4 linked regions of the Alligator mississippiensis genome follow. Each later gene encodes a partner of the first gene's protein in a complex. Links are inferred from orthologs where the notes say so. Each region holds a gene or a part of one and is shown in the gene's direction. Other genes may lie near its edges.

Region 1 (6,866 bases):
CTCTGCCAGCAAGAAGGGCTCCATCCTGCTCACCAGCCCCAGCTGGGTGTGGGCCTGGCCTGCACAGGGGGGTAGGGTCCCCTGGGTGGGCGCAGACCTCAGCGGCACTGCCTGCCCCACAGAGCACCTGGGCCCGGATGAGATGGAGCACCTGCTGCGCAGCGTCTGCCTGCTGCTGGGTTTCCGCACCCGCCGCGTGGTCAAGGCTGTGCTCGGCTTCCTCCGGGCCGCGCTGCTGCTCTTGGATGACAGGTTGTTGGCCCCACATATCCCTGCCGTGGTAAGTCTGGCCTGTGGGGACAGAGCTGGGCTCCTGCAGTGGGAGGCAGGGGGAGGGCTCCCTTCCCAACTCAGAAGCTGGACTGCCCTGGCTTGCAGCACATCCTAGGCTTGCACGTACCCCACTCAGCCACTGCCAAGCAGGGGGTGAGGGCTGAATTGCCCTGCTGTGGGGTGGGGGCAGCACCAATGCAGGGTCCAGGGTGGGGGAATGGTGATACTGGGGGAGATCAGCTCCATCTGCAGAGGGTGTGGGGCACCTTGTGTGGTGGGCAGGGAGCAATGGGGTGTGGGGGTGATGGGGGCGACAGGGTATGGGGCCTGGAGAGGTAGTGAGTGTTGGGATGGCAGGGTGACGATCCCTGTCCTGGCAGCTGGAGGCTTTGCAGGGCCTGCCGGGTATCATGAAGCATCACTTCCGTGCGAAGCTGAAGTTCATTCGCAACCATTGGTGAGTAGGGGATTGGCAGGGAGGTGCAGCATGGCTGAATCCAGCTTGGGCCCTTGGGGCACTCTGGGGGTGGGGGAAGCTGCGTCTGACCCGTAGCTGTGGCAAGCATGGTGTCCCTGGCGGGGGGTGGGCTTTCCTAGCTGACCCCCATCTCCCCAGAGCTTCGAGCTGGTGCAGGTGCTGCTGCCGGCCGTGTGCTACAATGTGCTGCGTGCTGAACGTCCGTGTGGCTGAGGCCCACGGGTGGAGGCAGTGCGTTCTGTGCCAGGCGGTCGCCTGCAACCAGCGCCACGAGGCGCCTCCAAGACCCAGAGGAGGGTAGAGGCTGGGGGGCCTGGGCCTGGCTCCGGTCCCACTGGCAGAAGAGAATGGGGAGCTTTGGGGTCTCATGCCCCATGGGAGACACTGGCCCTGTTAACCCTTCACCGTTTTGTTACCAGACTTAACACTAGACTCCAGGTAGTAACAATGATTTAACAAAAGCTTGAACAAGATCAGTCCATTCTGTGAGAACATTTATTGATTGCAGCAGTTTACAATTTCAAGCACGTGACAAAGAACATATACCTTTCTGTGCCCGGGGCAGTGTGAGCTCTTGGCTGCCAGCTGTCGCAGTCACCGGGGCAGCCCCTGGCACATGGCTCGCATGCTCTGCCCCATCCTGAGTATTGCTTGGGGGATAATGAGGCCCCCGGGCCCCAGGCCACCCTACTCAGGGCTGAGCCCAGCCCGCTCTGTCCAGGCAGGACCCTGTCCTTTGCTGAGATGTGACATGCTCCCTACCCACCCCCCTGGTGTCTGGGCCCTACCTAACCTGCCCTGGGTCTTGTGTTGCAGTAGGAGGCTCCAGTATCCATCTGCCGCCAGGACACAAGGAGGACTACACGCCCAAGGTAAGGGGCCCCTATGGCACCTGCCTCCAGGGCAGCAAGGTAGGGCGCCAACTCAGGCAACCCCTGTGCTGTGGTGCCCTCTGTGCCCTGCCCTGGAGCCCCGGGTGCAGCAGGAGGCAGTTGCCCAGAGCCCAGACATTCAGGGGCCCAGCCTGGCGCTGCAACATGTGTGGGGCTGTTGTAGTCCCAGAGCCGTGGGGCTGGCCAGGACCCACAGGGTCACATTCAGTCTCAGCCTTACCAGAGGCAAGACCAGCCCTGTCCAAACCAGCCCAGACAAACCTCATGTCCGACTGCTGAGCCACACGACAGTCACCCAGACACAACCCCAGGCATCACCCCTGCCCCTGACCCCGTGAAAGCAGGGGGGCTGCGGACACCAATGACCTGCTGCTGCCAGGGGGGTTCTTGGGTGCTCCAGAGACCCCAGGCAGAAGCTGTGCCCCCGCTGCAGAGGAAGGCAAAACCCCCAGCTCAGATCAATCTGACTGCAGGAAATCTCTTCCTACCCCCAGTGCAGCATCGGTCTGAGACTGAGCAGAGGGGCAAGACCCTGTAGCCAGGACCCTGCAGGGCTGGTACCAGCAGGAGCACTGGCACATCCCAGTCCCCATCCCCAGGCTTGGCTGCAGCCTGCACCCAGCACCTCTGGGGAGGCTTAAAAACCTGGGAGATGCCATGGGGCTGTGTCCCCCAGGCCCGCTGCCCCTCCACCCCCTGCCTCGAGCCCACACCACTGCAGCAGTGTTGGTCCCGGGGTTCAGGGGAAGGGGGCACTGTCCCCTGCCAGGCAGGCTGCCAGCTGCCCCAGGCCACATACATCTGTCTCCACTGTCCTGTGTGTCCTGCAGAAAGGCAGAGACGACGTGAAGGCCAGTCAGCTGGACCCCTACGCCTACTTCGCCCTCCACAGCGCCACGCTCAACAGGAGGTACGGCACCGATGCTTGCCAGGGGGGGGGTGGCCTTGCCCATGGCTGTGGGAGGGGGAGTCGGGGGCCATGGCAAAAGCTGGGTTGGGTCCTAGCTTCCCTGGATCCTTGAGCTGTTCTTGTGACCTGGCTCTGCCTCATTGCAGGGTCCAGAGCATCAGGGAGCTCCCTTGACCCTCCCCAGCCCCAACCCTATGCTGGGAACTGCTCCCACAGCCAACTCCTGCCCCATCACCCCCCAGCACCCCTTGCTGGGTGAGAATAACAAGGGGCTTCCATAGATTGCCCTGACCTGCGCCTCATCTTTTTCCCGCAGGGAGAAGGCGAAGAAGCAGGGACACTTCAAGGGGCTGATGAAGGGAGCCCAGCACGGCATCCAGGCTGGGCGCAGACACCGCCTCACTCGTGAAGTGAGTCCTGCTGGCCCCCTGCCCCCCCACCAGATGTGCAAGCCCTGCGCGTGGTGGCCCCGGCCTCGATCTCTGCTCAGTGCCGCCGGGGGTGGCGTGTGCATGGGTGTTTGTGCGAGCGGGTGTAGGTGTGCAGAGCCCACAGAGCGGGGAGCAATAAATACGATTCCCCCCGGACCGATCGATTGTTCCTCGTCCTTCTGGTGCCCCAGCCCCTGGATCGGAGACCAGAGAAACGGCCAGGACATGCTGTATGTCCAGGGGATCCTGATGGTCTTTACCCTGGGATCACCCAGCAAAGGGTGCAGTCCCAGATGGGCTGCTTTTAATTTTCTCTTCCTCAATCTGTGCCTGGGCCTGAGGGCAGGCAGGTGAACCAGGCCTTGTCCGGGGTAGCGGATCGTAGCATCGCAGAGCCGTGGGGCTGGCTGGGACCGGCAGGGTCACATCCAGTCCCAGCCCTGCCAGACGCAGGATTAGCCCCGTCCAAACCAGCCCAAACAAACCCCGTGTCTGACCTCCGCGCCACACGACACAGCCCCAGGCACCCCCGGCCCTGCCCCAGGAAAGCAGGGCCGCGGCCACCCATGACCCGCTGCTGCCAGGGCGGCAGGGATCCACCAGAGCAGAGGCTGTGCACCTGCGGCAGAGGAAAGCAACCCCCAGTGCGGACCAGTGTGAGCTGTGCGGTTGGCACGGTGCGAGCATTGCTTGGCACAGTCTGGGCTGGGCTGCATTTATGGCAGCATTCACCAGGCGCTGCAATGATGGAAGGGTGGGCAGGGCAGGGCAGTAGAGCGGGAGTCCTCCCGCGGTCTAGAGCGTCCGCCCGGAACTCCCCGCTCTTCCCGCCAAAGCGCGTCGCTTCCGGCTTCCCGGCATGCTGCGGGGTTTCCGGCGGCAGGGGGCGCGTGCAGCGGGGCTGATTCGTGCGCAGCCATGGCGTACCGCGGGCAGGGCCAGAAGGTGCAGAAGGTGATGGTGCAGCCCATCGTATCCTCCAGGGGCGCGGGGCCGCAGCGGGGGGACGACACTCCGGGGGGGGCGCTGTGGCCTGGCAACGGAGGGGAGGATTCCTGGGGGGTTGCCTAGCAACGGGGGGGGCAATTCTGGGGGATGTGGCTGCCCGGCAATAGAGGGGGAAATTCTGGGGGGGGTTGCCTGGCAATGGAGGAGATGTGGGGGGTTGCCTGGCAACGGGAGCGGGGTGTAATCCCGGGGTATGTGGTTGCCTGACAACAGGGCGGGGTTCCTGGGGAGATGTGCTTGCCTGGTTTTTGTGGGGGTGTTGCTTGGCAATGGGCGGGGAACCTGTGGGGGGGGTGTTGCCTGGCTGGGGGTGGTGTCTACCCATGCCTTCCCCAGCTCAGGTCGGCCCACGCTGTCTCCGCGCTGTTCCTTAACTGCCTGCAATAGAACCTGATTTTCCGCTACCTGCAGAACGTAAGTGACGGTTCTGGCCCCGCGCGCGGCTTCGGGGGGCCGGGAGGGGCAAGTTGGCCTGGAGCTGCTGGTAGTAGTGTGGGCGGTGTTGCTGCTTCATGTCTGGAGCGGGGCCCTGGAGAGAGGCACTGGAGAAGGAGCCTATGGGCTGCCCGGGGCCATGGGGCAGGGGCAGAGCCTGCTTGTACTAGGCTGAAAGTGGAAAGCTCAAGGGCCAGCTGGGACTGGGGTCCCTGGGAGCAGCTTGTCCCAGGGCCTTTTCAGCACGTGTCTGGACTCGGGGTCTTCAGCTTGTATCTCTGCTGTGCTGTGAACTGTCCTTGCGGCAGCCCTGGAGGTGGCTGCTCTGTTAGGAGCCTTTGCAGGTGGGGTGTGGAGTGCAAGGCATCCCCCCCACCCCAGTGCTTCCCTTCAGGTGGGCCTGCAGCTGTAGGGGATTGGACCCTGATCCCCCCCTCCCCGATAGAAGGAAATGGGTCCTGGCCTAGGTCGGCTTCTTTGTGCTGTGTTGATAGAAGGGATGGCAACACATCTGCCTGTGCAGCGTCTGATCATCACTAACGTGTATCCTCATCACCAAAAGCTTCCTTGCGATGACCCCCCAGGATTTGATTTTGCTTCTGCAAGATTATTGCAGATATTCTGAAACACGTGGGGGCCCACACATGAGTTTTCATCACTTGAGAAAAAACTTGCCTTTAGCTAAGCAGAACTGTTCCAGAGGTGGTGGACTTCCTGCCCCACAATGAACTTGGGTTCTGAAATCAACGCTTTGCTGTTACGTTAAGCAGTGTTATTATTTCCTAAGGATACCATCTTGAAGGCAAGGGTGCAGTGATGCACATGGGTGCTTCTTAAGACTCATTTCTCTATGTGCTTAGAAGTGTTTGGTAGCTGGGGATACCTTCCCCCGCCCCTTTTGTAAAACACAGTGTGACATGCCTGCTATTATGGAGTGATGGATACTATTTAAAAGCCAGTTTGGCCAGGGGCAAAGGTAGATTTTGAGTGGACAGCAACGGGTAACAGAAAATCACTTGGAATACATGTGCTGACACTCACTCTACTGTCTCTTTTTGCTTCTCATTTTACAGCGGTCCAGGATCCAGGTGTGGCTTTATGAGCAGGTGAACATGCGAATAGAAGGATGCATCATTGTAAGTGCCAGGATGTTCTTGAGTCTCTTGCTTTTCTGAACTTGCAAGTTCTGTTTGCAGCTCCCAAATGTAAACAGAGACAGATACTAGTCCTAAAGGCAGTGCTCAGCACTGTCTGAAGCAGCGGCCTCAGCCATTTCCACTTAATAAGTCTGTGCTTCTGTAAGAGAAGGCGATTGCAGTTGGTTCTGCCCTCAGTAAGGGCAGGGGAGTTGGATTTAACACCAGGGGAGTTAGGCGACTAACTGATTTTGTTGCTGGTTTTTAGGGTTTTGATGAATACATGAACCTAGTGCTGGATGATGCTGAGGAGATTCACTCCAAAACAAAGTCAAGGAAACAGCTGGGTACGTTTACATGGTTTAAATGATGGGCCCCAAACCTGTCCAGATAAGCCTTGTGTGGGGCAGCAATTTAAATGCAGACATATTAGAAGCTTGGGCTGAAGTCCAGCAAAGGCTGCTGTGAAGATGCTTGTTTTTGCTGTTTGCTATAGAATAACAGTGCTGGGGTCAGAGATCTGATAGGTATCCCATTAGATATGCACAAGAAGTCCAGAAACTAGTCTAAAACCTTAAAGAGGCAGGTAAATATCTTGTGCTTCTCTGCCTCCTCTTTGTTACTAGGATGGCCAGAGAAACCCAATCTGATCTCTGCCACATTTATCTCAGTCCTGAGACCCTCCAGCTCTCTGTCTTACTCTTTCAAGTGTGCGTTTCCAGAGTCAGGGCACGGAACCATGACTCTCGCTGTTTGCTTGTAGTTGATATTCACTGCTTGCCAGGTGCCAAAGGTAAACAATGAATCGGGGGTGTGCAGGGGTAGCTGGGGTGCCTTTTATTGCAGCACACTCCGTTATACAGGAGGAAATTGATGTACTAGCTGCAGATGGTGTTCATGTGCACCGATACAGTGAATTGTACCTTTAGATCGTATACTGCAGAGAGATGAGTACCACAGACTTACAGGCATGGAGCCCTGTGAAGCATGCAGTAGTAGTACACCTGTATATTAGCTCAGTTTGCTGTAACAGAAACCTTTGCAATCTGAACCGTAGCCTGTTGTTTTGCCAGTCAGTAGAAAGACGAGGTACTTGTTTTGTGGACTTTGTTCTGCAAAATTTTCTGCTGTTAGTCTCCTCTGTGAAATGCTTTTCCAGGTATCCTTGTTCTCAGGCCATGCCACTCCTGACCACCTTCTCTCTCTGTCTTGCAGGTCGGATCATGTTAAAAGGGGACAATATTACTCTTCTGCAGAGTGTTTCTAACTAGAATTTGTCATAAATTGGGACATTTGGACTTG
Region 2 (7,097 bases), on another chromosome or scaffold:
GCTGCACACCGACCCATTCAGACACAGCTGCTGCTGGGAGCCGCTCCCCAAGGCCTTTGACATGGAGGGGAGGTGGCAGCCACAAGCCCCGCCAGGCAACACAGCCCACATGAAGCTGGAGACAGCAGCAACAGGTGAGGGTTTTCCCAGCCCACTGCATCCATGGGCAAACTGGGGGGAGGAGAGTAGATTAGCTATGGGTACTAGTCCTCCTCCCTCCTGCCTGCCATGTAACCTTACTGCTTAGGTTAGCTGGTAATGCATTACTGGTAAACACACTTCTCATTTAAATGTTTAACCTTTCACATCCTGAGTTCCAACTCTAGCTAGAGATATGAACTTGGGCCTTGGAGTCACCGTCAGCCAAGCTCCAAAAGGCCAGATTTTGGTTCATGAATCTGAAAAAGACATACTTTTAATTGTAATGACTCCAGGGATAACGAGGCAACATCTCTGGATTATGTTTTGGCCAAGTCTGCTGTGGCTTTTATATGAAACAACAAAGGAATGCATATTTTACTCAAGTCACCTTTGGTTTTGCTTTGATTGTAAACTGAATCACATTGTGCCAAGCCCTGGGTACATTAGCAAAGCTTCTAGCTTTCTTGTTATCAGGTGGAAAACAGCTGTTGTGTTTTATGTGTTGACAAGGCATCGCACCACTTGCACCCCCTTTTCAAAACTCTGCATCTGCCCAGGGTGGACCATCAAGACCATTCATAGTTTCATTGCTGGTAGGGTCAGAAAGGACCTGAGCAGATCATCCAGTCCAACCCCCTGCCATGGGCAGGAAAAAGTACTGGGGTCAAACGATCCTAGCAAGGTGTTCGTCTAACCTTCTCTTAAAGACCCCCAGGGTAGGAGCCAGCACCACTTTGATTGGAAGTTGGTTCCAGGTCCAAGCCTCCATGACTGTAAAGTAGCGCCTCCTGATGTCTAGTCTGAATCTACACTCTGCCAGCTTGTGACCAGTATTTCTAGTCACTCCTGGGAGTGCTTGGGGGACCAGAGACTCCCCCAATACCTGCTGGTCCCCTCTGACTAGTTTGTAAATGGCCACTAGATCCCCCCTCAGCCTTCTCTTGTGGAGGCTGAACAGGTTCAGGTCCCTCAGCCTCTTCTCGTAGGGCCTGCCCTGCTGCCCCCTGATCATACGGGTGGCCCTCCTCTGGACCCTCTCCATATTGTCCACATCCCTTCTGAAGTGCGGCGCCCAGAACTGGATGCAGTACTCCAACTGCGGCCTGACCAGTGCCACATAGAGGGGGAGGATCACCTCCTTGAACCTGCTTGAGATGCATGTGTGGATGCATGGCAAGGTGTGGTTGGCCTTCCTGACCGTGTCTCCACACTGTCGGCCCATGTTCATTTTGGAATCAATAACGACTCCAAGATCTTTTTCTGCCTCTGCACTGACAAGAAGGGAGTTCCCCAGCCTGTAGGTATGCTGCTGGTTCTCCCTCCCCAGGTGCAGCACCCTGCACTTGTCAAGTGTTGAAACCCATCCTGTTCTCATCCGCCCACCCCTGTAACCTGTCTAGGTCCAATTGCAGCCTATTCCTCCCTACTAGCGTGCCCACATCCCCCCACACTTTAGCATCATCAGCAAATTTGAACAGGGTGCTTTTCACCCGCTCGTCCAAGTCACTGATGAAGATGTTGAACAGCACGGGTCTGAGGACCAAGCCCTGGGGGACCCCACTGCCCACATCCCTCCAGGTCAAAAATGACCCGTCTACCACCACTCTCTGGGTGTGACCCTCCAGCCAGTTAGTGACCCATTTGACTGTGTAGGTGTCGACACCACAGTCCTTTGGTTTTTTAATGACAATGGGGTGAGAGACGGTGTCAAAGGCCTTCCTAAATTCCAGAAAGACTACATCCACCGCAACACCTGCATCTAAGGATTTTGTGACCTGGTCATATAAGGCCACCAGGTTGGTCTGACAGGACCTGCCTCTAATGAACCCGTGTTGGTTGCCCCTAAACCTAATCTCCCCTGCTGGCCCCTAGTGGGCATGCACCAGGATAACTCTCTCAAAAAGCTTACCCAGGATCGAGGTAAGACTAACTGGCCTATAGTTTCCTGGGTCCTCCTTCCCCCTTTTTTTGAAAATGGGAACCACATTGGCCCTTTTCCAGTCCTCTGGCATCACACCAGAGCACCACGAGTGCTCGTAAAGCCGTGCCAGGGGTCCTGCAATGACCTCTGCTAATTCCCTCAGCGCTCTGGGGTGGAGGTCGTCAGGACCTGCTGATTTATACAAATCCAGCCCCTCCAGAAGTTCCCTGACTAGATCCTCTCTGACCCTAGGCCTGGGTGCACCTCCCCCCGAGGCCTGAGGGGGTCCTGGCAGATGGGCTGACTTGGTCCCTACTCAGGAAAATGGAGGCAAAGAAATCGTTAAATAGGTTAGCCTTGTCGTCTGGTGTGATGACCAGATTTCCTAGCGTGTCTTGCAGAGGCCCCATGTCACCCAGTACCTTCTTTTTGCCCCCTATGTATTTAAAAAAGGACTTCTTGTTGTCCTTGATCCGGGTCGCTAGTCCCAGCTCCATCTCCGCTTTGGCCTTCCTGACCGCCCCCCTGCAGCCCCGAGAAACCGAGGTATAGTCCTCCCTGGTGACGGCCCCTCCCTTCCATTGGGTGTACACTTTCTTTCTAGCTACGAGACGTTCCCAGATGCTTTTGGCGAGCCATGGGGGAGAAACAGTCACGTGGGTGGAGCAGAGAGATCAGGACGAATCAGGGCGATAATAAGGAGCCAGGAAATCAGTCAACTCCCTCAGCGCCACCTGGAGAGTAATGCCGCTGCCAGGACACAGGGTTAAAGCAGGAGTGCTCAGCTCCCGGCCCACAGGCTGGATGCCGCCAACGGACGCCAGCAGGACCCAATATTTGAGGGGGGGGGGGCGGCAGTGGCAACCACTTGTTCCTTCTCTGCTGTCAAAAAAGGGTTGGGAGAGAAAGGAAGGGGAGAGCATGGCATTGTGCACTGGACTGAGCACCTGGGCCCTGATGCTAGCGCCCCAATCCCAGCAATGTGGGGGCCTAATCCCGGCGCACGGACCAGGCCCGATCCTAGCACGTGGACTGGCCCCGATCCTGGCGGCACGGGGGCCCCAGTGGCTCAGTCCGCGGACAAGGGCGCGGCGTCAGGGTCGATGCTGGCGCCATGGGGACCCGCACCCACCTCCGCAGCTCCTCCTCCTGGATCCGCCGCTCCTCCCACACGAAAACGCCAGCCAGCGCGGCCAGCAGGCGGCGGGCGCCGTGTCCGGGGCGGCCCTGACCGCGGCGCCACAGCCCGGGCGTTAGGTCGCGTCGGGCCCTGGCCCTCGAGGCGGCGGGCGGGCCCGGGCTGGGCCGCAGGCGGCGGGGGGCCCAAACGGCCAGGAAGCGGCGGGGCAGCAGCTGCAGCGCGGCCACGGCTGGGCCCCAGTAGCGCGCCCACATCCCTCCGATGCGCAGCGTACGGCCCCTCCGCGCGCCGGCCCCGCTCTTGCTCCTGCGGCGCCGGGCAGGCCGCGCCCCCAATCCCAGGCCCGCCCCCGCTGGGAGACCATTGGAAAGCGGCTGGGAGCAACCCTCCGGGTCCCGCCCCTGCCGGGCTCTGATTGGATTGCGTCTACTTGTGCTGTCCCCGCCGGGAGGTCAGTTGAGCGACTCGCCGGTGATAGGCTGCACCTCTACCACTTCTGCGGGTCCCGTTCCCGCTGGGCGCTGATTGGAAGGTGACTGGCTGCTGGCTAAACTGCGCCGCCAATAGTCCTCCGAGCCCTGTCCCCGCCGGACGCTGATTGGAGCGCAGTGCCGCCGTCGTAGCTGTCAACAGGCTAGGCTGCGCGCGGTCGCCTAAGAGCGCCTTACAGGCAGGAAAGACCGCGGTCTTCGCTCCACCCCCCGAGGGGTGCCCTGCGTAGTGCCTGCCGCTACACAACACCCCTGAGAGCCGGGTCCCCTTTGCCTACGCTGAAAGCAAACAAACTACACCGGGGTCCTTCCGCTGCCCACCGCCCGAGGCTACATCCAGGTCTCAGCCCTGCAGAGGAGGGAGGGAGTGCTTCCGGGACACGCGGAAACACACCGGAAGTCCTTCCCCGGAAGTGCTTGGTGGCGCGGTGGTGCGTATTGCTAGGCCGCGGGCTTGTGAGGCGGCGGCGCCTGAGGAGCTGCCATGGCGGACGTGACCGCACGGAGCCTGCAGTACGAGTACAAAGCGGTGAGTCCCGTGGGGTGCTGGAGGCCGTTGCCAGGATCGGGGCCGGTCGCGCCAGGCCTCGTGCTGCCGGGATCGGGGCTCGTCCAGGGGCTGGGGCACGGGGCGGGGCGGGCTGTGTGTTTCCACCCGTTGCTCTGAGGCCTCCGTCGCACGGTGCCGACATCATGCAGCTTGGGGAAAACTGCCCCTGCCGTCCTCCTCTCACCCGAGTCGCAGAGCAGCGGGGCTGACGGGAACCTCAGTCCGTCCAGAAGGTGTGGTCCAGCCCCGCCTGCGGCAGGCACCGCCTGTTCAAACCACCCCAGACAGATTCGTCTTCTAAACTCAACCTAAGGCCAACACCGGCCCTGAAACAACCCAGACCTAACACCTCACCCTGCCACAGAGGAAACAGGAACCAGAGCAGCCAAGGTCCTGCTGCTGTAACCCTTAACATTGTTAATATTCCCCCCAGTGCCCCACCTGCTCCAGAGGAAGGCAGCCCCTGCGCCCCTCCCCAACCAGTCCTTACCAGTCTGACAGGGGAGGGGGGGAATTCCTTCCTAACCTCACTGCAGCGCCATCAGTCTGACTCTGAGTGAAGGGTCAAGACCTGGGTTTGAGTCCCAGCAGCGTTGGCATAGCCCAGTCACCATCCCCAGCCTGGGCTGCAGCCAACTTCTCTGAGGGAATCTTAAAGCCCCCCTGATTTCTGTAGCAGAAAGTGAGGGGCATCCAGCACAGCCTAGGAAATCCTCGTAGGAGAGCACAGGCATCACTATGCCAAGATCATCCTCGCCCTGTGGCTATATGAATTCTCCTTCAACTCCTCCAGCAATGGGGAGCCCGCACCTCCCCTAAGCACAGGCATCGCTACACCTAGATCATCCCCAACCAGTGACTGTCCTCCCTCTCCTGAAACTCCTCCAGTGATGGAGAGTCCACAGCTCCCCTGGGCAGTCTGCAAACAATCCACCTTTGGAGCAGATGACAGATACAGGGGTGACTGTGGAGGGAAATTTGGAGTGCGGGAGAGATTCACTGCTCACTGAACTAATGCACTGTGTTGCAGCTCCCTCACTTTCTGGTGCAAGTGTGTTTGAGTAGCTGTGGCACCTGCTGCACATTAGATAGTGCAGAGGTCTCTTGCTCTCAAGCTACTTGTGCTGAAGTCAAATAGGGAGGGAACAGCTTCTCTGAGGCTAAACTCCTACGCTGCAACTGTAACTCCAAGCAAAGCTTTTCCATTAATGCCCTTCAGGTATTAGAAGGGGTCCTCCAGGAAGGTAAGAGCCAGGGTGGATTGATTTAAATCAAAGCAATTTAAATCACCAAGAGAAAACTCTATCAAGTTTCCCAGTGATACTTCTTCACATATTTCTTAAACAATGGGACAAATTTGATCACTAAAACATGTCAATTTACAAATCAGTACAGCATTTTACAACATCTGTCCTTAAACTCTCTCTCTTAATTTTCACATTTTATTAACTCTAACAGACAAGTCATCACAACACTAAATGTATGCTGTCCTTAAAACTTCTACAGCTAGGTCTCATCTTCCCCACTCCCACTGCCATTTTTATTCATAGACTGAAACCGAAATACAAGTGTTCCTGCTTTTTCAACTCCCAGTTGACTTCTTAGCTTCTTTGAGTGAATAATACCAAACAATGAAAATATCCTCTCTATGCCTGCGGAGGAAACTACTGCTGTGAAAAGTTGGCTTAGCAACTGAAGGAACTCTATCTCAAGGTGCCTGGCTAATGATTTCCACCAATTCAGGGGAGTGACTTTGTTCAAAACATCATCAGTAAACCATGTACTATTTAAATGGTTCCCCCCCAGCCCTGAAATTTATTATGACTGGCATAACTGAGGAGTGATTTTGAGATGCCCATGCCAAGGCAGCAGCATCTTCAAAAGTTAGGCATCTACCTTTATATCTGGGGTTGAGAATGTTGGCAAGAACATGAGGTGGAGTTGGTGCTTGATCCATTTGCTTCTTTACTGCCTTCAGTTTAACTTTCTGGTTAGGTATTTCTTTTTTTAATGTCTCTTGAAGTGCCTTCCAAATTTCAACAGCATCAGCAATGCAGCAACAACCTCTCTGAAGTTTGTTTAAGGCTATGGATGTAGGCTTCAGTATATTGAGCATATCCTCTACATTCCTCCTTAATCCAATGTAAACAGATCAGTTCTTAATACATTGTTCAACACAATGAACCACAGAATTCCATTGAACATCTTGAGAGAGAGTGAGTTTGGATCCTCCTGCTCTCTTCAGTGAAGCTGAAGCCAAATGCTTGGTACAGAAGTACTTTATGACTTCAACAACATTTTCTTTTATTTCTGAAGAAGTACTTAAGTCTTTGGCTAAAAGATGCATTAAATGGACACTGTAGCCGTATGTTATTAAGGAGCATCCTTCCGTTTCTTCTTCTAAGTATCTTCTCATTTTTGCCAACTTTGCAGCATTATCACTGACAACTGTGCATGTGACAGTTGAATTTTTGTTCACAGTTTATTACAGCTTTCACTGCCACTTCTTTTAAATGTTCTGCTGTGTGGGCATTTCCCAATGTATCTATTGTTTCTGAAACATATGCAGCCTGTTGAGGGATCACCACATAAGGACGTGGCCTTTGACATCCTGATGACATTCACCTGTCTGTGGTTGTCAGGAATGCCTTGACTAGCTAGTCAGACTCTAGTCTCCACCTAATTCTCGCCTGCCATGACTTGATGGAATGTTCTTTTGGGAGGTGATGTTGTTTTCACGAGTTTGATTATAGTGCAAGGTGCCCTCCAAGTGGGGCTCCAACCTCCCCTTTCACCCCAGCCGTACACCTACCAGTTCTTACCATGGTATCGGGTATAATCCAGAATATGTGC
Region 3 (7,995 bases), on another chromosome or scaffold:
GGCCCTAAAGTCCGAACAGTCAGTAGCATATATGCTTAGGTCTAAGGGGTCACTGCCATGCCTGGCTTACAAGGTGGAAACTGCAACAGGGATTTTTACCATGTGGTGTTACAAGGCAGGAGTGGTTAAAATGGTTCAGGGACTGGGGCACATGACTTGTGAGAAGAGGCTGAGGAAAGTGGGCTGATTTAGTCTGCAGAAGAGAAGACCGAGGGGGATTGAATAGCAGCCTCCACCACTCTGCAGGGGGGCTGCAAAGAGGATGGAGCCGGGCTGTTCTCAGTGGGGGCAGACGACAGGACAAAGAGCAATGGGCTCAGGCTGCAGCAAGGGACGTTGAGGTTGGATATTAGGAAAAACTCCCTCACTAGGAGGGTGGTGAAGCACTGAAATGGGTTATCCAGAGCAGCGGTGCAGTCTCCATCCTTCATGGTTTTAAGACCCGGGTAGACAAAGTCTTGGCTGGGATGATGTAGTTGGAGCTGGTCCTGCTTGGAGCAGGGGGTTGGACTGGATGTGACCTCCTGAGCTCCCTCCCCACCCTCATTTTCTATGAGTCTATGATTCATCCCCTGGTTTCACCAAAACTGGCCTCTTAGAGCCATTGGACTCCATAGCACATGACCTCTTCTCCTGGCCACCCCGCTTTGCCTCCAAGAAACCTTCTGGTCCAAGATAATTTTCCCTGTGGTCCTGATTCATTGTGGCAGAAGCTGTAGCCTAGGGAGACTCGGATTATTGCAAGGGGCGTATATCCTTAAATGAAGCCTTCGCCATCTGTTCCGACTTTTAATTGCAAATGCGAAAGGAATAGAATCCAGTTGCTAATTAATCAGCGAAAAGATCTAAGCCATTGACATGCATGCACACGCCTTTTGTTCAGCACAGCATGAATCTATCAGGATTTTCCTGTTTATTAGACACAAATTAGGAGGAAAATTGCCATTACTGATGGGCCAGGCCCTCAGCTGGTGAAAACTGCCCTGGCTGAATGTTCTTCGGGGAGCTATGGTGATTTGGACCGTTTCCAGCCCCGGCCTGGTCCCGAGTACTTCATTTCAGTGGTTGTTATTCTCATGGGACCAAGCACGCTGCACTGTAGGAGGCTGTTATTGCATTTCTCAGGGGTCTCACTCCCTTTTATATGTTTGATACAGCCCTTTGGAAGCTAAAAGTTTGGGATACGCCAAAGGAGGCAATTGCTTGGCCATGAAACGGCAGGAAAGAGCTGTAGTTTAGAGCTGGATGGCCTCGTGTGCAGTTAGTGCATAGAAAAGGGTCCACCCAAAGTCTTTGCTGGATGGCTGAGGGGGTGAAAGTGCATGTGCTGAGCCCCTGTGTAGGACTATGTGGTCCAGAGGCAGTTTCCACTGGGCATCTTGCTCTACTATGGACTGATTGTGCAGCAGTCTCTATTTAATGCCTTGTGTCATCAGGGAGCATCTGGGAAGCAACCCCAACTGGGCAACATGAACCAACGTGGGTCGGCCATAGGCCATTCTTGATGGGGTGTGACATTAGGGGCATTCCCGAAACACTGTGACCAGAATTACCACGTGCTCCCGAGCTCTCAGCAGGGCCAGGGTACACTGATGTTGAAGAAGTCCTTGTTGGTAGGTGCTTTCTGGCTACTACACATCCAGTCCTGCTATGCTAGCCCGGTGGGATAGCTTGCATGCATTTAATTTTACAGGATCACATATGCATGCTGCAAAAGCAAAATAACTGGGTGTGGGAGGGACGCATATTAAGAGGCCTGTGTCATGTGAAGTCCAGGCAGCAGGGGATGAGTTGGAGCCAGAAGAAAAACTGTTGATCTGCCAGTGGGGACAGATCAATCAATCAAAGCCCACCTTCCCTTGCCCACAGGCATCTGCTCTAGATTTAGTAGAGAAATGAAAAGATCCAGTGTATTCAAGCAGGCATTAGGCGCGGAGTCCCAAGCACCAGAGAAGATGTAGTAGGCCATAGCCAACTGTATTGCCCAAAAGAGCCACTTTGGATGTCTTCTAGGAGACTGTATCTGTGCACGCTTTATTGCTTTGCTGCCCCACAGCAGCAGGGGTTAACAAAGCCCTGAGCACAGTGCAAATAATAACTGCTAACAGTGACAGCGATGACAGTGATTACAGCCTGGACCCGAGGAAGACCGAGCCTGCCGGGGTCCTGAAAAGAGAGCGCTGTCTCATTAGGCGTGACACTCTCAACCCGATCGGCATTCAGGCAGCATCTCCAGCGGCGTCACTCTTCTCCACACAGTCCTTCAACCCTTGATCAGCGATTCAGCTTCAACCCTTGATCAGGACCCCCTTCATCAATTATTCACTGTCCTGCTTTCCATCAGGGGGGTAGCAGAGCCAATGTCGGGGCTGGAGGGGGTGGAAGCGGGGACGGACTATGGCAAGGCTTGGTTTGTAGGGGTTCACGGCCTTTATCCCCATCCCTTCCAATCACCCCTTTTTGCACATTATCCCTTCCAGTTCCTCTCCCCCTTCCTTTACATTCAATGCACGGAGACAACAACAAACCCTCCAGCGCAATGCAAAATTGACTGTTCTACAATTTGGGGCTTGCTTGGAATGGGGGGAGGTCAGGTCACGCTTATTCTAGCATCCTCAAAGTCAGCTGCGATGTTTAGTTCCCCCCATTTCTCCTACCCCAGATATAACCATCACCAGAAAATCCTACACAGATAGCAGCATACCAGTTCCAAACCCTCTTCAAACAAGAATAGATGCCTAAAATTGCTCTCTGGCAGTACAATAGCAGTAATTTTCATGGCACTGAAGCATGCTTGCAATAAATGGTGTTTGCTGTTGATTAAATGCCGTCGCTCCGCTTCAGCATTTAATCAAGTACAAGCTCAGCTTATTGCTTTGCATACTCCACCGCCATGGATATTATCCCTTAAATAAGCAATACAGCAAAATACAGCCACGTAGATTAAATTTAACTTCATAGAGAGAGCTAAGATATGAAATTGATTTTCTTGTAAAGGCCTGATGAGAAAGTAGTGCACTTGAGGTACAAAACTAGGCTGTGATCATTAGGGTGAGGAGTGTATCGAATTTTACTCAAGTTCTGAAGACTTTTTTTTTCCCCCTGTGAGTTTTGAATGAGTTCTGGGAAGTTGTAAAGCCTGCTGAGGCTGCATTGGCTCTCAAGCATTAAGGCAGACTCGGTCTGAATTCCACGCATGGACATTCAAAAAAGAACCGATCTGAGTCTCTTTTTTTCCCTGTCTTCAATTATGCACCTGAGAGGTGATTATTTAATGAGGGGCAAGTTAATGTGCTAAGTACTCCACCTGGTGGTATATACAAAACCGGAACCAAGCAGATTTCATGGGGGAAAGCCTCTCTGCTTCTCAGGAGGTACTGAAAAATCTCTGATAGCGGGCAGTGGTCACTTTAGACCTACGTGGTGTCTTGTGGAGACCCATCCACCAGCAGCTGGAACTCCAGTGATATTTCCAGCAGAGCTGATGTCCAGTTTGGCTCTGCTGCTGTCACTCAGGCGAGGATTGCTTTAGGAACGCACCATTTTTTAAAGAAGCTGGGCTAAGCATCAAGCAAACCAGGGTGGATTTAGTGGCATGCATTGAACACGTAAAGTGCATGGGTGATGTGAGCACAGGGGTTACCCTGCTGCACCGTGATGCAGAAGCAAATGCCCTGTGATTACAAGTTGGTTGTAATCGTGTTCGTCTAAGGACGAAGGGCGGTTGTGCCCAAAAGCTTGCAAAGAACAATTTCCCCAACTATTTAGTTGGCCTAATACAAAAAATGTCACATCTACTCAAAGAACCTCGTCCGCCCGTGATGACGATGAAGCTTTCCCCACCGACCTCTGAACAACGTGCGTGCCTCCCGAGCTCTGATGGAGTGAGACTCCTCAGCTGGGTTTCAAAGGGGTTTCCTTGAAGGAGGGTCAAACCCTCTGTGTAGCTGAACTCCCCTTCTTATGAGGTCCTCCTGGACTTTGCAAACTCTGTGTTAATAAGGCCCTTCATCCCCATGAGAGAGACCCCCTCAAAGCCAGTCGGCAAATGAAGCCGCATCTCCCAACAAGTAGCACAGATCTGTGTGCCGCAGCGCTCATGATGCTAAAAGACTCCTGGGCTTTGTCTGTGCATGGGCTGCCAATGCTGCTTCTACCCCTGAGACCTGAAACATTGGTAGCAAGCCTGGGAGGGATTTCCCTATATTAATACAAGCACGGCCTCTGTCCTTGGTCCTAGGTAGACCTTCCCCGCAGCATGGCTCCATCGCCGTGCATTGCAGGCCTTGGGGATGAATGGTGCAACCCAGGCTGGGGGCCTATTCGACGGGCCAAAGGGAATCGTGGGCCAATGAAATTATAAGTCTTAATAAGGGAGGTCACAACCGATTCCTTGGGACAAATAACCAACAGGGCCAAGCGGGAGGTCACAGGTTGCTATCAAGGGAGCCAGAAGGCGACACAAAGCAGAGCACCCCGAGCAGCACCCGTACGCACCGAGGGCTGGAGGGATGCCGTGCACGCAGCATTATCAAATCTCATGATTTTTGGCGTGGCTTGTAAAAGTTTACGCGTCAGGAACATGCAACAGCGTAGCTCCTTCATATCCATTTATATTGCTAATACTTATATAAAAGAAAGAGCTGCGGTGACGCGTGAACTTTTACGACAACTTTAATCACAAAAGTTGGCAATGTTGCGGAGCCTGACCTCTGCCATGTGGTGTGTAATGCACATGCATGTTACATGCAGTGCGTTGCAAGGGGCATGCCTGCAGTGGGGGGGGGGATGCTTGTTTGCAGCAGCAAGCAGCAGGCACCTGCAAGCAGCCTGAGCCAGGCGCGCATGCGCACACTCCACTCACAGCCAACCCCCTCCAACATTCCATCCCCCCTCCCCTCTGCTTGCGCCCCTCGGCCCGGAAGCCCGTAGGCGGGACTTCCGGCCGCGGTGCCTGCCTGGGTAGCACCGCCTCCGCTTCCCAAAATGGCCGCCGCGGCCGCTTCCTCTTCCTCTTCCTCCTCAGGCGCGGGCGGCTCCAGCTCGGCCGCTCCCTCGGGCTTAGCCGCCGCCATCACGGGCACCATGAACAAGAAAAAGAAGCCGTTCCTGGGCATGCCCGCGCCGCTGGGCTACGTGCCGGGCCTGGGCCGCGGGTGAGCCCTCCCCCCACCCCTCCCCGGGCCTGGGCGAGGCGAGGGGGGGCTGCGGCGCCTCTCAGCGCCCGTCGGGCCTGGTCCCGCGCGTTTAGAGGCACCAAACCTTGTGAGGGAAGCCGGGCAGTAAAAGCTCGGCTTCCTTGCTCCACCATGGTGTCCCTTGAAGGGGGGGAGCTGCTCCTGCACAGTGTGTTTCAGCAGTGGGGTGCTGCACTTGTGAACGGCTGGATTGTTTTGTTCCTCGCCTTCGTATTATCGCTGCAGACTAAATCCTAGCTGCTGGTCTCTCCGTTTAGCGCTACGGGCTTCACCACCCGTTCGGATATCGGCCCGGCGCGTGATGCCAACGACCCGGTGGACGATCGCCATGCGCCGCCGGGGAAGAGGACCGTCGGGGACCAGATGAAGAAAAACCAGACGGCAGACGACGATGACGAAGATCTGAACGACACCAATTATGATGAGGTGATGCTTCTCCTGTCTGACGGGGGGGGGAAATGTAATACCTCTCTCCCTGCCTCCCCCCTCATCCCAAAAACACCACACAAAATCATCCCGACGCCCTGTGCCGTGCTATGTGAGGGAACAACGGCAGAGCCAGTTCGCAGCACCCCTTGCCACGAGTTGCGTGCGTGTGTCATGCCGCAGCGCGTATGGGCGTGTTTTTCCGTGGTGATATTTGCACGTTGCGGTCGGGCTGTTTGTACTGAGCCCAGGGGGTTTGGGGAGGGATGTTGAAATACAATATCAAGGTGAGTGCTTTGTGGACCGTTCCTCTGATGCTTCTCCAGAAACGAAGTCGAAACAGCTGCTTTTTACCCCATCGTTGAGATGATCCGGTCCCAATAAAAACTTGCGTTTAACTCAGTAAAATTGACTCGTACTGAGATACAGCGTTGTTTGTTTTGCATTTGTTTTCAATAGTTAAACATTTCTGCTAATGAAACGTTTATGCAATTATCACTTACCGAGAGGTTTTTGCTGATGAAATTCACTACTATGATAGGCTGCTTTAAGGCTATTTTAGTTGCATTTCATAGACGTTGGGGCTGGAAGGGACCTCGAAAGATGGTCGAGTCCAGCCCCCTGGCCCAGAGGCAGGAGGTCAGCTGGGGTCAAAGGATCCCAGCAAGATAGACATCCAAATGTCTCTTAAAGGAGTCCGGAGTAGGCGCTTGCACGACTGCTGGCGGCAGTCTGTTTCAGGCCTTGGGGACTCGGACAGTAAAGAAGTTCCTTCCTTGTGTTCAGCCTGAAATGGTTTTGGAGGAGTTTGTGACCGTTTGACCTTGTCATCCCTTGGGGCGCTCTGGTGAACAGACGTTCCCCCAGATCCTGGTGTTACACCCCTTATAAACTTATAGGCAGCCACCAGGTCCCCCTTGAGCCTGCGCTTTTCCAGGCTGAAGAGCCCCAGGGCTCTCAGCCTGTCATCATAAGGCCTGTTTTCCTGCCCTCCGATCATGCGCATGGCTCTCCTCTGGACTCTTTCAGACCTCTCCACATCCTTTTTAAATTGTGGAGCCTGGAATTGGATGCAGTACTCCAGCTGCGGCCTCACCAAGGCCAAGTACAACAGGAGGATGACATCCCAGGATTTGCTTGAGAAGCATCTATGGATGCAAGCCAGAGTTTTGCTCACTTTACCAGCTGTGACATCGCACTGGTGGCTCATATTCATCTTGTGGTCGGTCAATCCTGACCCCCAAGTCCCTTTCAGCTGCGGTGCTAGCAGGTGTAACACTGCCGAGCCTATAAGCGCGATGCGGGTTTTTTTGCCCGAGGTGGAGTACCTTGCATTTTTCAGTGTTGAATGCCATCAGGTTTTCATCCACTCATTTTCTGAGCCTGCCCAGGTCAGCCTGGATCGCCCTCCTGTCCTCGGGTATAGACGCTTTACCCCAAAGTTTAGCATTATCGGCAAACTTGGCCAGTCCGCTTCTGATACTAATGTCCACATCATTAGTAAAGATGTTAAACAGTATAGGCCCAAGGACTGAGCCTTGGGGGACTCCACTGGTCACGGTGCACCACAGTGATTGACTTTTATTGACTACCACCCTTGGGACTGGTGAAAAACTGACGCAAAATACCTATTAAGCAGGTTGGCTTTTTCCTGGGCATTGGTTGTCAGTTGTCCCATATGGTTTAGCAGGGGTCCAGTGTTACCCTTGCTTTTCCTCCAGGTCCCCACATATCTAAAAATGGACTTTTTATTGTCTTTGATACATGTAGCCAGTTGGAGTTCAGTCGCAGCCTTGGCTTTCCTGGTTTGCACCCTACAGGTCCAGACCAGTGCAGAATACTCCTTTGAGGTGGATCTAGTCTTCCATCCTTTATAGGTCTTTCTTTTTAGATGCAGGAGGTCTACAAGTCCCTGCAGAGCCAAGGGGGCTGATGTGCTGTGCCCTTTTGCTGCCTTTTTACTGTTAAAATTGTCTCTGAGGGGTTTTCTTTCTCTTGAATGACTGTATTGGCTTTGCTAGATGTGTAACTGAACTTTGAAACTAAAATGTTTTGGCCCTTTAAAATTTTCAGTTTAATGGCTATGCTGGGAGCCTGTTCTCAAGTGGTCCTTATGAGAAAGATGATGAGGAAGCGGATGCTATTTATGCAGCATTGGATAAGAGGATGGACGAAAGGAGAAAAGAGAGAAGGTAGGCTTAATTATGGAACTTCAACAAGGCAGTGTTTTGTAGTTATGGTATAAATCTAGGAATCAGTTCTTCTGGCTTCTCTGTTGTTGTGCTGCCTTGCTCTGTTACCAGGGCAACATTTTCAAAAGTCACTACTGAATCAGTGTGAGAGAACTTTCTGCTTCAAAAGTGCTTGGTAT
Region 4 (7,767 bases), on another chromosome or scaffold:
CCTCCAGCAAAGCGCCTTTCGACATCCATTTTCTCTAGTTTCTCATACAATATCAATTGACCCACATTTGTTGCTAATGTTTAACTACACTTTCAGCTCAGGTGACTGAAAGGAAGGAGAGAGAATAGTCTATGATCTGAATTCGCTGCACAAAAGAGGAGCATTTTTCATTGTGCATTTGATTCTGCACTGGACAGAACTAAATCAGATTTTTAAAAATTCTCTTAACTAGATACTAGAAGGATTGAATAGAAAGGAAGCAATTAAAGAAATGCTCAGATTCTTTTCCTCAGTCAAGTCCAAGCTTAGTAGTTGTTATTCAGCCTGGCAAACACTGAAAACATTTAAATTGTAGATTTGTATTTGCACAACACGTGCACATTAAATGATCATATCAGGCAGCAATTTGAAAATCGAATAGGTCGTTCCCATTTCTAAAATCTAATACTGCACATTTCTTTTGTTATACAGTTATGAACATACCAAGTATCTCAATCTTACATTAATCACTGTATATAGCTATCGTAAGCGAGTGTCCCGGAGAATTAACCAGAAAAGGACAGTGCTTTATTTGATGTATTTAAGAAATTATAGTACAGGCAAATTCTTACTGCTGGTCTTCGAGGCTCTCCTGGCAACTGTGGAGGATAAACAACTCTATTCTTCTTCTCCCATTTTCCAATGACCTCTTGAGATGATCTTGTATGCATATTTGACAGTGGGAAAATATTTACAGATGCCAGGAACCTGCAAAACAAATTACACATTCTTTGTATACAGGTTAAAACCAATTTTTATTAAATAAATGAAATGGAAGAGTTCATAACAAACTCAAGCTTGTTTTGGTAAAGTAACATGTACCTCCCTATTAACTTGCAAAATGAGGTCTAAGAAATCCCTTTACACCAAGAATGTTTCTTATACATATGAATAATATGGGGCTCATTTAAGTGAGTGACAGGTTACACTCAGATGCGTACATCCTCCATAGGTATGCCACAGCTAAGTACAGGCAGTCCTCAACTAACAACACTTCAAGTTGTGACATTTTGCACTTGCAACGTTTCTAAATTGATACCCATTTCAACTTTATGACATCAGTTTCAACTTTACAACACTTAATCCGATGCGACGCCACGCCAGCAAACAAGTTCGCTGTGTCGCTCATCTCCCTGGAGAATATCTGTCCAAACTTCATTGGACACTTTCTTTAAGAAAGCAGACAAGACTCCAGAAAAACCTGCATCCAGGACTCCTAAGAAGACTCCAGCCAAGAACCCTTCAAAAAGTCCAACCAAGAGGCTTTCAAAAAGTCCAGCAATATCACCTCAAAGTCCTTCCAAATCAATACAATCACTATTTACAATATAAATGTATTAATGTAGCTATATTACTCATCTATAATTGATCGAGTACAAACTTCTGGAGTATTTTTGGTGAAAATAGGGCATCGGGCCTTGGTTCAGAAACCAATCCCCCATTTATAACATTGTTTCCTATGGGGAAATCAGTTCTGAGTTACAACCTTCCAACTTAAGATGAGGTTTTCAGGAACCGATTGTGTCATAAGTCTGAGGACTGCCTGTACCTATGAGTTCTGGTTCGCAGTAGAGTCATAGAAGTAGGGTCAGAAGTGACCTTATAGATCATCAGGTCCGACCCCTGCCCTGGGCAGGAGAGAAAACCGGGCTCAAATGACCCCGGCCAGGTAGACGTCAAGTCTCCTCCTAAAGACCCCCAGGGTAAGAGCCATCACCACTTCCCTTGGAAGTTGGTTCCAGATCCTAGTCACACTGACTGTGAAGTAACGCCTCTTGATGTCTAGTCTAAACTTACTCTCTAACAACTCGTGGCCATTATTTCTTGTAACCCCGGGGGGCGCTAGGGGGAACAAGGTCTCTCCCAAACCCTGCTGGTGCCCCCTAGTGAGTTTATAGATAGCCACCAGGTCCCCCCTCAACCTTCTCTTGCAAAGGCTGAACAGGTTCAGGTCCTGTATCCTCTCTTCGTAGGGTCTGCCCTGCTGTCCCCGGATCACGCAGGTGGCCCTCCTCTGGACCTCTCCATGCTGTCCACATCCCTCCTGAAGTGCGGCGCCCAGAACTGGACGCAGTACTCCAACTGCGGCCTGACCAGTGTCACAGAGGGGGAGGATCATCTCCTTGGACCTGCTCAAGATGCATCTGTGGATGCTCAACAAGGTGAGGTTAGCCCTACTGATCGAGACCTCGCATTGTCGGCCCATGTTCACCTTGGAGTCAATAATGACTCCAAGATCTCTTTCTGCCACCGTGCTCTCGAGAACGGAGTTTCCAAGCTTATAAAAGTGTGCTGCTGGTTCCCACTGGCCAAGTGCAGCACCCTGCACTTGTCTGTATTGAAACCCATCCTATTTTCGTTAGCCCACCCCTGTAACCTATCCAGGTCCTGCTGTAATCTGTCATAGATTCATAGATGTTAGGGTCGGAAGGGTCCTCAATAGATCATCGAGTCCGACCCCCTGCATAGGCAGGAAAGAGTGCTGGGTCTAGATGACCCCAGCTAGATGCATATCCAATCTCCTCTTGAAGACCCCCAGGGTAGGGGAGAGCACCATCTCCCTTGGGAGCCCGTTCCAGACCTTGGCCACTCCAACTGTGAAGAAGTTCTTCCTAATGTCCAACCTAAACCTGCTCTCTGCTAGCTTGTGGCCATTATTTCTTGTAACCCGAGGGGCGCCTTGGTGAATAAAACCTCACCAATTCCCTTCTGTGCCCCCGTGATGAACTTATAGGCAGCCACAAGGTCGCCTCTCAACCTTCTCTTGCAGGGGCTGAAGAGGTCCAGGTGCCCCAGTCTCTCCTCGCAGGGCTTGGTCTGCAGGCCCTTAACCATACGAGTGGCCCTTCTCTGGACCCTCTCCAGGTTATCCATATCCCTCTTGAAGTGCGGCGCCCAGAATTGCACGCAGTACTCCAACTGCGGTCTGACCAGCGCCCGATAGAGGGGAAGTATCACCTCCTTGGATCTGTTCGTCATGCATCTGCTGATGCACGATAAAGTGCCATTGGCTTTTCTGATGGCTTCGTCACACTGCCGACTCATGTTCATCTTGGAGTCCACTAGGACTCCACGATCCCTTTCCACTTCCGTGCCACCCAGCAGGTCATTCCCTAGGGGACATGTCCCATGTCCTTCGCTACTAGCATGCCCACCCCAAATCTTGGTATCATCAGCAAATTTAAATAGGCTGCTTTTCACCCCATTGTCCAAGTCACTAATAAAGAAACTGAACAGCGCAGGCCCAGAATAGCTATTACACACCATTCTCGATTTTCTGGCTCTTTATCCATTGGTTTTTCGTTACATAACAATGGTCCTCACAAAAACGAACCCCCAGCCTATCAAAGTCTGAAGTTGGTTGATACTTACCCACTTGTTGGTTATTTGACCGTTAACTTCAGATTACAGTACTGATTTTTACCTTTGCCAATGGCAAAATATAAAACAAAGCCTAATTTTTTTAAGTTATGGGTCACAGACAGAAGTATGTTTCCTTTACAATGAAAGCTACTCCCCCAACTACTTTTAAATGGTTAAGCCAATTTTGATCTGATAATTAACAAGAAGAAATGAAAGACTAAGGTGTTGCGTAGATAGAGAAAAATCCCAGATTTCTACAACTTTCAAACATTCCCCAACCGGAGAAGACAAAAGCTGTTTATTTGAGATATAGATATCTATAGATAGATAGATATAGATATACCTCTCTCTCTCTCTCTCTCTCTCTCTCTCTCTCTATATATATATATATATATATATATATATATATATATATGATGCCCTCTGCTGGCCAAATACTGAGGTGATAAGTGGGCAGCCAAACCTGTTGATTTTTGTGAATGAAATCAATAAGTGAAGCCAGGAGCAAACCATTTAAGCCAACTCTTTTCTTGCATGGCATATTACTTTTCTGAGTCAACTTTAAAGAGGTTTTAATCGATACTCTTAAGTCAAATAGTATGTAGACTTCTGGATACTAGAAAACTGTTAGAAATTCAAATTACTGTCACATCACATTTTGGTTAGAAATACCCAGTATCTATGCAAAGAGTTGTAAATGAGAACAACATCAGTCACCATAAAACTACATCAATTCCTAAAACTGAAATAGGAAAAAAAAAAAAAAACCCATTCACGCCTCTGCTTGAAGGCCAGATTCAGGCCAAGGACACTCGCTTTGTTGAAGCAATGGGAAAACGCACGTTAGAAGCCATCAGCCGGTCCCATCTCCCTCAAACCAGGTTTTAAGAGAGCAATTGAATTCAAGATATTTCACACCTGCTTTGACAACAGCCTTTTCCAAGCCACTATTTCCACCGCAGGTTTTTTTAAACACGTTTCTTGCCTCGTAACTCACGTGTCATAGTTTGCATTCGGCTTCAACATCGAAATGCAGCCGCTCCCCTCTCCCACACTGAGGGCACACAAGATGGGGAGCGGGGATAGACTCACCTCTCCGGCCAGGCCCCGAGGAGCATCCGCCGCGCCCAAGCGAGGCCTGCACGAATAGAAAAACGAAACACAACCCTACATGAGCCTCAAAACCACCACCCAGCGTCTTCCCCAACCTCCCCTCACTCACCCGCCATGGCCGCCGCCATTGTGGCCGCCTCGCTTTGACCGCGCATGCGCGGAACCCAGCGCATGCGCAGAGTGGCACCCGCGCATGCGCCGAACCAACGGCGGGGAGGTCAAAGGTCGTTTTGCGACCCTTGACAGCAGCGCCGGGCAACGGCAGAGCCGCGGGCACGCGATGGCGGCGGAGCGGCTCCTGCCCGCCTCGCCCAACTGGTACCTCAGCCGCTGCAGCGACGCGAGCGCCGGCGCGCGGCTCTTCGGCTTCGCGGCCCGGAACAGCGTCTACCTGCTGCGGGTCGGCGCCCAGCCCGCCTTCCACGGTACCAACCCCGCGATCCCGGCCCCGGGGCAGCACGAGGGAGCATCCTGCCCCGCAACAGGCGCTGCTTCCCCCCCGCCACGTGTTAAGCCTCCATCAGAGGCCCCAGGGGCGCGTTTATACCCGTAACCGTAAAAAAAACCCAAACCTTTAAATACCATTTTAAAGCCGTCAGTCTTACACACGTGCCCGTTAAAGCGTCGCGTGAGGGGACGTGCCGACGCGCCGCTGAGGAGCAAAACAGGCCGCGCAGCATCGAGCCTGGCTCAAAAAAAAAGCAGTGTTTTTGCTACCGCGTGTTCGGGCAGCCTCGTGTGCGTGTGCTTTATTTAGCACGTGGGCGTTTGAGCTAAAGCTCGTTCAGCCGTCTTTAGATACAGCGTCCCCGCTGCCATTTTGAACCAAAGGGGATGCTGATGCACAAGATGCTCCGGGAGCTTTATTTAGAGCCCCTCTAATTAAAGCGTTTCCCCCCCCCCCCCCCCCCGACGGTGGGGGGCACGTGTATAAACGCTCCGAGGTTCTAAGTTTAATGCGCATTAGGAAAGACGGACTAATGCATGTGTAGACACGCCCTCGGTGTTGGCCGCAGCCCAGGCTGGGGATCTGTGGCCGTGCTCCTGCTGGGACTCGACCCGGAGGGTCCTGGCTAGCGGATCCTTTCCCTCCACTCGGTGTCAGACCAGTGCTGCGTTGGGGGCAGGGAGGAATCCCCCCCCCCCCCCCCAGTCAGATTGGTATGAACTATGCAGGATTTTGCTTTCCCCTGTAGTCGGCCTTTACCTGAGATCTTTTAACCATGTGTTAACAGCCTTTTATAGGAGCAGGACGTTGGCTGCTTTCCCTGTGGCAGGTTCAGGTGTGATGTCCATGTTGTGTCCGGGTCGATGGTAGTTTCACTAAGAGGTTAGATAGGTGGGGAACGGTTTGGATAGAGCCGATCCTGCCTCGAGCAGGGGTTGGACTAGATGTGACCCCTAGAGCTCCCTTGCAGCCCCACGGCTCTAGGATGCTGTGCGCTGCGATTCACAGATTAACCGCGGAGATGGCAGATGGGAATCCGTCGTGTTAAAAGCGTCCTGCCCTGCTCTGCGCTTCTGCGGTTCCTTGGAACAAAAGAATCGCCCCGTTGTTTTTCAGGAGTCGAAAAGCAAATGAAAGCCAAGAGCTGGCATTTTCTAACAGAGTCTTTGAGCCTAACAAGGGGTCTGAGAACCGCTGATCCAGAGTGGTCTACCCTGTTATACCCTCCCTCGCATGCACCATCCTCTGTTAATTCAGCAAGTACCTTGTGAGAAGCACATGAAAAAGGAAGGTTCAAGGGTGTCAACGGTGGCATCCCTGACTTTTCTGTTTCATAGCTATTAATGGATCTCATGCATGAAATTGTCCTGTCCCTTTTCACCCTGGCTGAACTATCTGCCTCTACAATGTCCTGTGGCAGGGAGTTCCACTAATTAACTGTCCACTGCATAAGAAAGCATTTTCTCTTATTAGTTTTTTGCCTGTCTCCTGCTCATTTCAGTGGCTGTCCCCTTATTTTAGTATTCCGGGAGTTGGTGAATAACTGTTTCCTATTCATTTTGTCCACACTTTTGTTTTCTGTGGAGTGTGGGACATGCAGGGATGAGTGTGTGATTCTCCTGCTTCCAGCCACTTTTACCCCAGTTGTTTGTTAGTGGATGTTGCAATGCATAATATTGAATCTTTTGTATCGGGTAGTTTGTAGAAAGAGTACTCGTTCAGAGATGGGGAAAGGACAGCAGTTTCTCACCAAGAATTCGGTCTGTGAATGTTTCCTCTTTTTGTATTTCAAACCTAGGAGAGCTCATCGGTCATACAGAAAGGGTTTCTGGATTTACCTTTTGTCATTTCCCTGATCAGACCAACCTCTGCGCGAGCAGCTCAGATGATGGAACCGTGAAAATCTGGGATACTCAGACTCTGTCTCTTGTAACTGAGCATACGCTCCATCAGGTATAGTAGCCAATAACCAGGTCCGTGTGGCTGTAGGAAAACCACTAGAACAAGCGTTTTCCCAAAGCTTTTATTAGCTAAACAGGGGGCAGAAATACATGCTGGGACCAAATAAGAAGATCCATGTAGGGATCTACACCAGTTTCATTAAACTAATTTTAAAATCCATGTCAGTTAAATCAGTGAAGGTTTTCTGTTTGTTGGTTGGTTGGTTTGGGAAAAAACATTTAGTGTGGAGGACATCCTGGTAAGCAATTGTGTGTGGATCCCTTTGCAATCTTAATTTCCTGGCAGATCTTTGACAGCTACAGCAGTGACTTTCCCGATCTTGCTCCGTATGTAAACATTAATGCCTTTAGTTATCTTAACCGAGGATAAAACTCCTACCACTTTAGCTGCCTCATTTAGTATTGTTTCACGGTTCATCTCTGCCTAATATGGGGCTAGAGACAAGACTTTGTCATGCCCTGGTTAATCTGCATTTTCAGAATACAATCTCAGCCTTGCATTGGTCACCCCTTGTGAAAGATCTGGTTGTGTCTGGTGATGAGAGAGGCATCATCGTTTGTTATTGGCATAACAGAAATGACAGCCAACAGTTCTTCCCTGAGCCTAGGACCATCTTCTGCCTCACGTGTTCCCCTCACCAGGAGAATCTGGTAGCTATTGGGTAAGTGTTAATTATGTTGCTCCCTTTTCTTATGCTGCAAGGTAGATGGTGTGTGTGTGTTTTCATTGCAGCATAATTTTAAGGCTATTCTTTCAGAAATGGTGGTGGTGGTTTAGGAATTTGGCTAGTTCTCGTTGGCTAGAGTGGCAGGAGGGAAAAAGAAGAACCTAAATGAACAACC

The links.
Region 2: SNRPE (region 1) and SNRNP200 share a complex: the UniProt entries of both Homo sapiens proteins name them as parts of the U4/U6-U5 tri-snRNP complex. The link is inferred for Alligator mississippiensis from reciprocal best matches to the Homo sapiens genes SNRPE and SNRNP200.
Region 3: SNRPE (region 1) and PRPF6 share a complex: the UniProt entries of both Homo sapiens proteins name them as parts of the U4/U6-U5 tri-snRNP complex. The link is inferred for Alligator mississippiensis from reciprocal best matches to the Homo sapiens genes SNRPE and PRPF6.
Region 4: SNRPE (region 1) and GEMIN5 share a complex: the UniProt entries of both Homo sapiens proteins name them as parts of the SMN-Sm complex. The link is inferred for Alligator mississippiensis from reciprocal best matches to the Homo sapiens genes SNRPE and GEMIN5.

The regions. Positions count from the first base shown.
Region 1 is NC_081837.1:39,630,451-39,637,316, forward strand, and holds the start of SNRPE (small nuclear ribonucleoprotein E), read left to right. Parts: upstream 1-3,848; 5' UTR 3,849-3,903; coding exon 3,904-3,957; intron 3,958-4,380; coding exon 4,381-4,407; intron 4,408-5,501; coding exon 5,502-5,564; intron 5,565-5,832; coding exon 5,833-5,911; intron 5,912-6,779; coding exon 6,780-6,835; 3' UTR 6,836-6,866. Other genes in the region: RRP12-like protein, read left to right, coding at 123-280, 654-730, 1,568-1,623, 2,475-2,554, 2,871-2,963. UniProt on the Homo sapiens protein: Plays a role in pre-mRNA splicing as a core component of the spliceosomal U1, U2, U4 and U5 small nuclear ribonucleoproteins (snRNPs), the building blocks of the spliceosome.
Region 2 is NC_081830.1:10,327,391-10,334,487, forward strand, and holds the start of SNRNP200 (U5 small nuclear ribonucleoprotein 200 kDa helicase), read left to right. Parts: upstream 1-4,087; 5' UTR 4,088-4,178; coding exon 4,179-4,223; intron 4,224-7,097. Other genes in the region: STARD7 (stAR-related lipid transfer protein 7, mitochondrial), read right to left, coding at 3,195-3,457. UniProt on the Homo sapiens protein: Catalyzes the ATP-dependent unwinding of U4/U6 RNA duplices, an essential step in the assembly of a catalytically active spliceosome. Plays a role in pre-mRNA splicing as a core component of precatalytic, catalytic and postcatalytic spliceosomal complexes.
Region 3 is NC_081832.1:2,897,674-2,905,668, forward strand, and holds the start of PRPF6 (pre-mRNA-processing factor 6), read left to right. Parts: upstream 1-4,979; 5' UTR 4,980-4,986; coding exon 4,987-5,156; intron 5,157-5,455; coding exon 5,456-5,624; intron 5,625-7,697; coding exon 7,698-7,816; intron 7,817-7,995. UniProt on the Homo sapiens protein: Involved in pre-mRNA splicing as component of the U4/U6-U5 tri-snRNP complex, one of the building blocks of the spliceosome.
Region 4 is NC_081832.1:77,080,961-77,088,727, reverse strand, and holds the start of GEMIN5 (gem-associated protein 5), read left to right. Parts: upstream 1-4,759; 5' UTR 4,760-4,795; coding exon 4,796-4,940; intron 4,941-6,761; coding exon 6,762-6,916; intron 6,917-7,404; coding exon 7,405-7,586; intron 7,587-7,767. Other genes in the region: MRPL22 (large ribosomal subunit protein uL22m), read right to left, coding at 612-747, 4,495-4,540, 4,625-4,670. UniProt on the Homo sapiens protein: The SMN complex catalyzes the assembly of small nuclear ribonucleoproteins (snRNPs), the building blocks of the spliceosome, and thereby plays an important role in the splicing of cellular pre-mRNAs.